Linked DNA regions of Arabidopsis thaliana. The protein of the gene in region 2 interacts with the protein of the main gene of each other region in a pairwise test. Each region holds a gene or a part of one and is shown on either strand. Other genes may lie near its edges. The genes, in order: AT1G77250 and SNL2.

What was found.
Region 1: the proteins of SNL2 (region 2) and AT1G77250 interact in a two-hybrid assay, tested with the Arabidopsis thaliana proteins (one large-scale study listed by BioGRID).

What each region holds. Positions count from the first base shown.
Region 1 is NC_003070.9:29,021,840-29,025,762, forward strand, and holds the start of AT1G77250 (RING/FYVE/PHD-type zinc finger family protein), read right to left. Parts: upstream 1,636-3,923; 5' UTR 1,493-1,635; intron 1,158-1,492; 5' UTR 1,100-1,157; coding exon 845-1,099; intron 232-844; coding exon 1-231. Other genes in the region: AT1G77260 (S-adenosyl-L-methionine-dependent methyltransferases superfamily protein), read right to left, coding at 2,122-2,320, 2,412-2,489, 2,588-2,710, 2,788-3,045, 3,195-3,354, 3,445-3,555, 3,647-3,917.
Region 2 is NC_003076.8:4,864,183-4,868,105, forward strand, and holds the start of SNL2 (SIN3-like 2), read right to left. Parts: upstream 1,850-3,923; 5' UTR 1,535-1,849; intron 1,395-1,534; exon of another isoform or gene 1,390-1,394; 5' UTR 1,388-1,389; coding exon 1,311-1,387; intron 1,203-1,310; coding exon 1,026-1,202; intron 945-1,025; coding exon 764-944; intron 669-763; coding exon 570-668; intron 481-569; coding exon 313-480; intron 227-312; coding exon 1-226. Other genes in the region: AT5G15025 (paired amphipathic helix Sin3-like protein), read right to left, coding at 2,772-2,901, 2,980-3,138, 3,297-3,376; AT5G15030 (paired amphipathic helix Sin3-like protein), read right to left, coding at 3,921-3,923. UniProt on the Arabidopsis thaliana protein: Acts as a transcriptional repressor. Plays roles in regulating gene expression and genome stability.

The DNA.
Region 1 (3,923 bases), on a different chromosome or scaffold from region 2:
AGTTCTGCTCGTAAAATCATCAATCTTGACCCCTTGAAGATTTTCGGAAAGTAACCTATTTAGGGATGCAAACTCCTTTGAAGCTAAAACATGGGACAGAACATGCTGGCAACCGGCTGTCACCGTCTCATGATTGGTGGATTCACTTGATGGTTTATTTGGACTGGGAGGCTTCGGGAGTTCACCAGTAAGATGGGTTCTTATGCTAAACCTTTCATAAGAGACAGACTCCTGTGAAGAAATTTAATGAAAAAATTAATCCAAAACAAGAAAGAGCTAACATGTTTTAGGAGCATATTCATGAAAGTAAATCATGAACACATGAGTTGATCACACAAATATAACCTGAGACGAAGTTCAGGAATGAATGCATGATTTAGCAAACTCTAGTCAGGTTTTCAATAAGCACAGTATTAACAGCACATATGGATTTTACTACTATTTGCAAAGCGTTTCCTGAAACATAGCTATCACACACTAGACACCAATGTAGCCTGAACAAAATGAAGGGAACAGATATATAATCGCAAAATTGTTACTTGAATAGCCATACGAATATAAGCAGAAATGACCCTTCTCTTTAGCTCCCTCAGCAACATGCTGAGTAATTGAGGCCCAATATTCACTATTGAAGCAACTACCCAACCATCACTAGATTTATAGAGATCCTAATATACATTACTTAGCCAAGGCTCTAAAATAAACCAATAAACTAAATTCACAAAACATATAACAACTGAGGTGAGCGAAAGTTGCAAAATGCTAGCAACTACATATACTCCAGCATTTTAAAACCAATCACAACAAGAGGTGGTACCATAATAGAAAAAGGCATGAAAAGTACCCGGCTTTCTGAGTGACTAACACCTTCCATGGAAAATCTATCATTTTCCGAACATTTATTAGCAGAATAAGATCTCCCAAGTTTTCTCCGCTTATATGTTTGTATCTTCTTACTATCTCTGGAACTAGCATTTGCAGAATTAGCCATAGCACCACATCCTGCACTCCAATTATTCAATGCTTCACTTTCCACCAAACCATTTGGCTGATTATGCTCTGTACCTTTACCATTACTTGTCGCCTCCTCCATGAACATCTTAAACAAATGTTTTGATCCTCACACAGTGGAGCTAGGGTTTCACCAATCTTCCATCCTACAATAGACAAAACAGAAACTTGAGTCCTTATATAACCCACAAACGAAATCTCATATGGAAATGTTGACCATTGGTAACAAACTATCAAAATGTCTTCGATTTTATCACCAAATAAACCATCTAGAAATTAGAAAAAACAATATCATTCCAACAAAAAGCGATGAAATTGAAGACTTCTCTACCATAATTTCATCAGAAAACAACGAATTTCTAGATACGGAAACTTCAATGGAGCTTTATCTAGACACTACAAAAGACGGAACAAAGCTAAATCCAAATTCAAACCTCTAGCGAAAAAACCGACAAGAGGGAAAAAGAGAGTAAAACCGTACCAGTGTGAAGAAATCTGCGTAAAGAACCGACGAAGAGCAAACCCTAGAAATTTGAGGAAGAGGATTGATTTACCGGCTCTCGGAGATTAAGACTCGCCGGTGGTTCTGTAAATCCCGGCCTTTCTTATCTTTGAATCATTTTTAAACTTCCGCGTCCCTTAACCGGTATATTTTTCAACTTGGATCTGAAACCGGTCAAAACCGGTAATCAGTGACGCGAAACTGACACGTGGAAGTAGTAATAAAAACCGCGCCGGAGACTCACGGTGACGGAGTCCACCACAGTAACAGATTCGTGATGTGCACGTGCTTTTAGTTATTCCCTGATCAAAGAGTCACAACCGTCGGATCTCAACTTTAGCAATCCAACGGTTATAACTGAAAGACACCCACCATTCTCTGTTTCTTTATTTCACACTTCTCTCTGTTTTTTTTTGTCTGAGAAAATGAATCTTTTTGTTACTCATGTGTTAAAGTAGCTCAAGTGTATTAACACTCTTCATTCTTCAACAATCAAATCAACAAACAAATAAACAATAATACAATTATCAATTTATCACTAAGAAGAACTGTCGCTTTGAGCAGACTTATCATCACATTCGATTTCGTATCTTTTCTTTTTCTTTTCCTCATATCCGTTTATCGCAGATGAGAATCCTAACGCTTGCGTGGGGTCCTTCCCCGGTATCATGAACACCAGCAGTCCAACCGATGGCTTTAGCCACTTGCTGAAGTTGGTCCATCAAAGACAGTGAATCCCTTATGTAAACATGTCCTCCTGGTCTCAACATCCGGTCCATCTCCAGCATAATGTTTGTTATGTTGCACCTATGTTCCACAATTCATTACCCCAATCAAGTTCCTGACCTTTATTTTTGGATTCAGGATAAAAAGAAAAACGAAGTTTAAATCTTTTTACCTCTTTTTCTCAACAGAGAAGAGAAATGCAGCATGTATCAGATCATAGGTTCTTGGGTAGGTGTCAAATGGCTCACACCTAGAGGAAGTAAGTGAAAAAAGCTTTAAATGTGATCTTGTGTAAGTTAAAGTTATGTGGGATTAGAAGCAAAAGAGCAGAAGGTTATCAGTCTGTACCAGTCGTGCATAGCCCCTTGTAGTCCACGGTCATAAATAACTGGCAAGGTGTTGAATCCGCTAACGGGAACAATGTTCATAACCCAACAGTCAAGCCCCAGATCGTTTAATGCTGCTGCAAACCTACCAAAATCAAGAAATACTAGATCAAATAAACTTTGGTAAGGCAGAAACAAAAAAAGGGTGTGATTGATGGTTACCCTCCAAAACCAGCTCTCATGTCCAGAACATTCCTCAGTTTGAACTCCTTCCAGCGGAAAACCCGCACATAACTCTCTACTACTTCTAACCAAAATCTAGACTCTGCCTTCATAATTTCCTTTCGGGATATGTACGCATCCATTTGAATGCTTTGTAGCCTCTCTGGCGGATCATGAAGACGTGCAGGCCATGTGGAGACATTAGCCCCATAGCCATTATCAGGTAATCGGGTGATGCACGGTTTCATATCTACATACCTGGAACAGGAAACCATAACCACAAAGTTGAGATTTTTAGAAAGTTTTAATTGAAAAGCTGAGAATTTGGTGGTTCTATCATATAATGTCTATGCAAGAAGGCTCAAAACTATTAAAAAGAAACTAGATTTTCAGATGCATATATGTACCAAACATCATCAGGATCATCATCAGGTCTGCACAAAGGAGGTTTTGTTCCAGCTTCGCGACTGACATAGCAGCTGTTGTTTAGAGGCTTCCTCCACACAGCAATATATCCCTCTTTCTTGATAAGCTCCCAACAGATTCGATTCGTAAGGTCTAACATTTCTGAAAAAGATAATCAAAGCGCAGAAGCAACACCCATATTTTAGTTAAACTCCATAGCAGACAAATTATTTTGTTGAATAATATACAAACCTTTCCACTGCTCTTGCAAGTTATCCTCATGTTTGTAAACGGGTTGTGCAGCCCAAACAAAGTAGCCTCCTGCTCTAAGCATTCTATTAACTTCAAGAAGAAGTATCCCATCTGTGTAATTCATAGAAACAAAATGCTGTAGTCACTTACTATGCTAAAGCTCAAATAACATTAGAGGAGAAGCAAAAAGCCAGAAATTAACCATCGCGTGTCCAATTAATTCTGCATCTGGAACAATGAATCATCTCAAAAGACTGGCTTGGATACAACAACCTCCGTGTGGCAAAGACAGCCACCATCGCAGGAACACCACGCTCCAATGCAAACTGTATCTGATTCTCATGAACATCTTTTGGTGCTACAGACAAGGTTGTCGTGTTACGCTGCATCAAAAACGCACCAAAGCTCGCCACACCACAGCCAATGTCCAAAGCAACACGGGTGCGTGATCCAAATGTAATATCAGGAATCATCTGCAA
Region 2 (3,923 bases):
CCATTCTTCTCGAGGACTTCCTTTTCTCTGAAAAATGTTGCAAGTTATCTTGCTCTGCTTCTCCATCTTCCAAATCACGGCTTCTCCTTTCTCTATTATCCTTATCAACACGTTTCCTCTGATCTCTGTGCATCTTAACCATTGATTTATCATCATTAAGGTCAGAACGGTCAACACTGTGATCACGATCACCCCGAGAAGCAACAGTTCTTTCTCGTCGGCGATCCTGATGATGAAAAATGTATCAGCACAGAAAAGAGAGTCCTGAAAACAATATAGTAGAACCAGGAAGAAACGTAACCGATACCATACCTTCTCCATAAACATTCGACGCACAAGAGGAGGGCCTGATCCCCGGTCATCATACCGTTGGGCTTGACTACGAAGTAACTGGGCTTCTGTATGAGGCGCCAACGAGTCTGGTAAAAACCTAGTGAACTCTTCAAGCAAATCCGAGTGGTCCTCAAAAAGAGTAGACACCTAAATAAACAGATATTAGAGGTATAAAATATCGAGAATTATCGACGTGAAAGTATACGAGAGATATAATCACTTCAATGTGACATTACCTCATTGTAAACCTCAGTGATGTCCTTATTATCCTTCCGATACATATTTAAGATTTCCAGAAACGACTTATAGACAAGTTCATTGTGCTGGAACCGTGTCTGCAGTGATGCAAAAGAAACTGATACAATGAGATACTAGGTGTAGAGGACACTTCAAAGATAAGGACATACATACGAGAAGAGAACTTCTTGACCTTAATTTTATTAACAAAGCTTATGGCTTCTTCAAATTCAACAGTTTTCTTTGAAGGAGCTTCTACATCATCAAGCGTTATTTCAAACCCCTTAGGCAAAAAGGTGTTAAACCCGAAAATCAAATTGTTATGCCCCTTAAACAGCTCCTTCACTCGTGAAATCACACCAGATGTATCAGTCCTGTAAATGCAAGATGAAGAATTGTTCCCAGAGGCTTCAAAAATTCAATCGATCTGATAGGAAAGAAATTAAAGATCTTACTTTTGTGCCTTAAAGTCTTTCATAACCTCAAGGAACATATCATATTTGTCTCGCTGATCTTGAAACATCTCCTTTACTTCCTTTAAGTAGGTCAAAGCATCATCGGTAGTCAATTTCTGAGTGTTGATTCCCCCTTCACCAATGCTCCCTCCTCCAGTGATTGGAGATTGCTCATATCTGCACCAAACAAACTCTAATCACTTAGTAACTTTCATGCAAACAAGCTATAATGTCTCATCGCCAGCAATTTTAAATTTTCGAAGTCTGACGAAAAGGGAAACTCACGATTCGCCACGAGAAGAGCCCAAAGGACGTTTAAATTGAGACCCGGTTGCGTAAATATCATCCCTAATTCGCTTCATTGCTGCTCTGAGTAAAACAAACAAGAAAGATCATCGATTAGAGAAGAGAAATGAAGAAATTTGAAGGTAAACCCAAAATCCCAATTTAGAAATTCCATTACTGAGCATCTAAAAAAGGAAAATTCAGATGAAGTTGATAAAACCTACTTTCTCGTTCTCCAGATTTCCCAGAGATATAACTCCGGGAAGAGATTAATCAGATCTCTCGAGTAAGAGCGGAATCGATAAGAAACACTTCCGATCAAATTCCGGCGAAAACTTCAAATTTCCCGAATTGTGCCAAACCCCAAGAACAATTCCGATGAGAACAGAGTGGAATTCAGAAGAAGATTAAAAAACAAATGAGAGAGAAATGTTTTGAATTGGAGTTGCTACGACTGAGAAGCAAGAGAGAGAAAGTAATTTTCGAATAATGAAGAAGAAGAAGAAACGAGGACGGAATTTGCCTATGAGGTCTCTCCCGGCACCTTCTTTAGAATTGTTTCAGCGAGACCAAATTATTATTATTTCCTTTTTTCTATTTTTGGGCCGTTAAAATTTATAATGGGCTTAATAAAAGGCCCTGATTATTAGGCCCATTAAATAAATTCGTAAGGTAATTAGGGTTTTGCTTCATCATATTCGCCGAGGAAGATATATAAAGAGGAAACAGATAACATTACTCAGAGATATCGATCTAAGCTTGCTACATCTTCTTATATACTTCTGCAGTTTTTAGTGTTTTTGAAATTCGGATTTTTTGTTTGGATCAGTTGATGAGCAAATACTGCAACAATATGATGGAGAAATCTTTATGATTCTTAGTATTTAAGTCTCTGATGATCTTATTTGTTTTTATATTTCCTCTCTTCTCCTTTTAGATCTTGCACATAGTCGTCCCTTTTTCTGAACAGAGATGTGATGAGTAACAAATTGGTCCGTGTTTCTGATTAACCGTGACTGAGAATTTATTAACCAAACTCTGATCTCAATAAGTTTTATTATTTGAATCTTCAAATCTTGGTTTTGTATTAGAAAAACAATGAGAACTCTTTGGTTTTTGGCTCTGTGATTGCTTCGCCTTATTGGCAATATACGCTATTCTGAAATCAGAGTATGAAAGATAAACAAACTGTACTTTATGAGAGCCCAATCGAATAGTTATTTTGAAACTTCTGCTGTGATGATCTTTTGAATAAAATTCACATGTCAGACTTCAGAGATCTTTTGATCTATGAGAAAAAACATTCATAATTCTGAGCAGAAGTAACAACACAACCTGTTTCTCCAATACTAAAAATAACCAATTGTAACTTGTAGTAGAGCTAAGAAGATATTAAAAAAAAGGTCGAACAGAGAGCTAATTTGATATATCCGTCTCATTCAAATGCTAGCTTCTTGATCCTTAATCCTCATCCTCATCGTCAAGAGTAATTTCAAACCCATGTGGCAAGAATTTGTTAAATACGAGAATTAAATGGTTATGTCCCTTTAACAGGTCTTTGACTCGTGCAATCACGACAGAAGTATCGGTCCTGATAAAATGCAAGATGAAGAATGGGTTCAGAGGCTAAATATGATACTTAAAGAAACAAAACAAAAAGATGTTATACCTTTGTGCCTTGAAGTCGCTCATAATCTCGAGAAACAGATGGTATTTGTACTTTTGATCATGAAACACGTCCTTTATTTCCTTTAAGTAGGCCAAAGCATCATCGGTTGTCAAAGCATCTTTGGTGTTACCGTTTCCAGGTTTTGGAGATTGCCCTTGTCTGCGTCAAAAACAACCCCACGATCATCAACACAATACTTCAAGATTACGATACTAACCAAAGTCTTTTGCTAAAACGCAACTAGATTAAAAGATTTGAAATAGCATAAATGCGAAACCCTCTGTGTGCTCATCGCTAAGATTGAAAATGGAACTTACAATTCGTTTCGAGGGGAGCCCACTGGATGTTGATTTTGAGACCCAGAACCGTCGATTTCTTTATCTCCAATCCGCTTCATCCCTGATTGAAGAATTATGGGGGAAAAAGTTATTGCAAGCAGAAGAGAAACAAAGAATCACGATGAAGTTTAGAGAGACTCACTTTCGGAGAAGATCTGAAACAAATCACTCAGATCTTTCAAGTGAGAGCAAAATCGAGCAGAATCACTTCGATCAGCGACGATTCTATGCAAATCAGAACAAGAGTGTTGCGATGACAAATAGAACAAATTGCGCCTATTAAAACCGTCCGTTTGCAACTTCTTTGGGCCTATATCCCATTATCAGCCGAAGTAAGGCCCATTAAAGTATTTATTAGGATTTTATTTCTTTCTTTTTTGTAACCATTTATTTTTATTTTTATTTTTATTTTTGTAACCAAATTTATGTGAACGTAAAGAAAATATAAGAGGTCATACTTTATTGCAGTGAAACGTTCCCTCATGCATGGATTACAAAGAAACATATTTGATAATAAACCACCAAAAACTGAACATAGAGATTAGTTTAGAGATTTTGATGGTATCATTGGTGTCATGACCATGATAGGAAATTTCAATAGTCTTA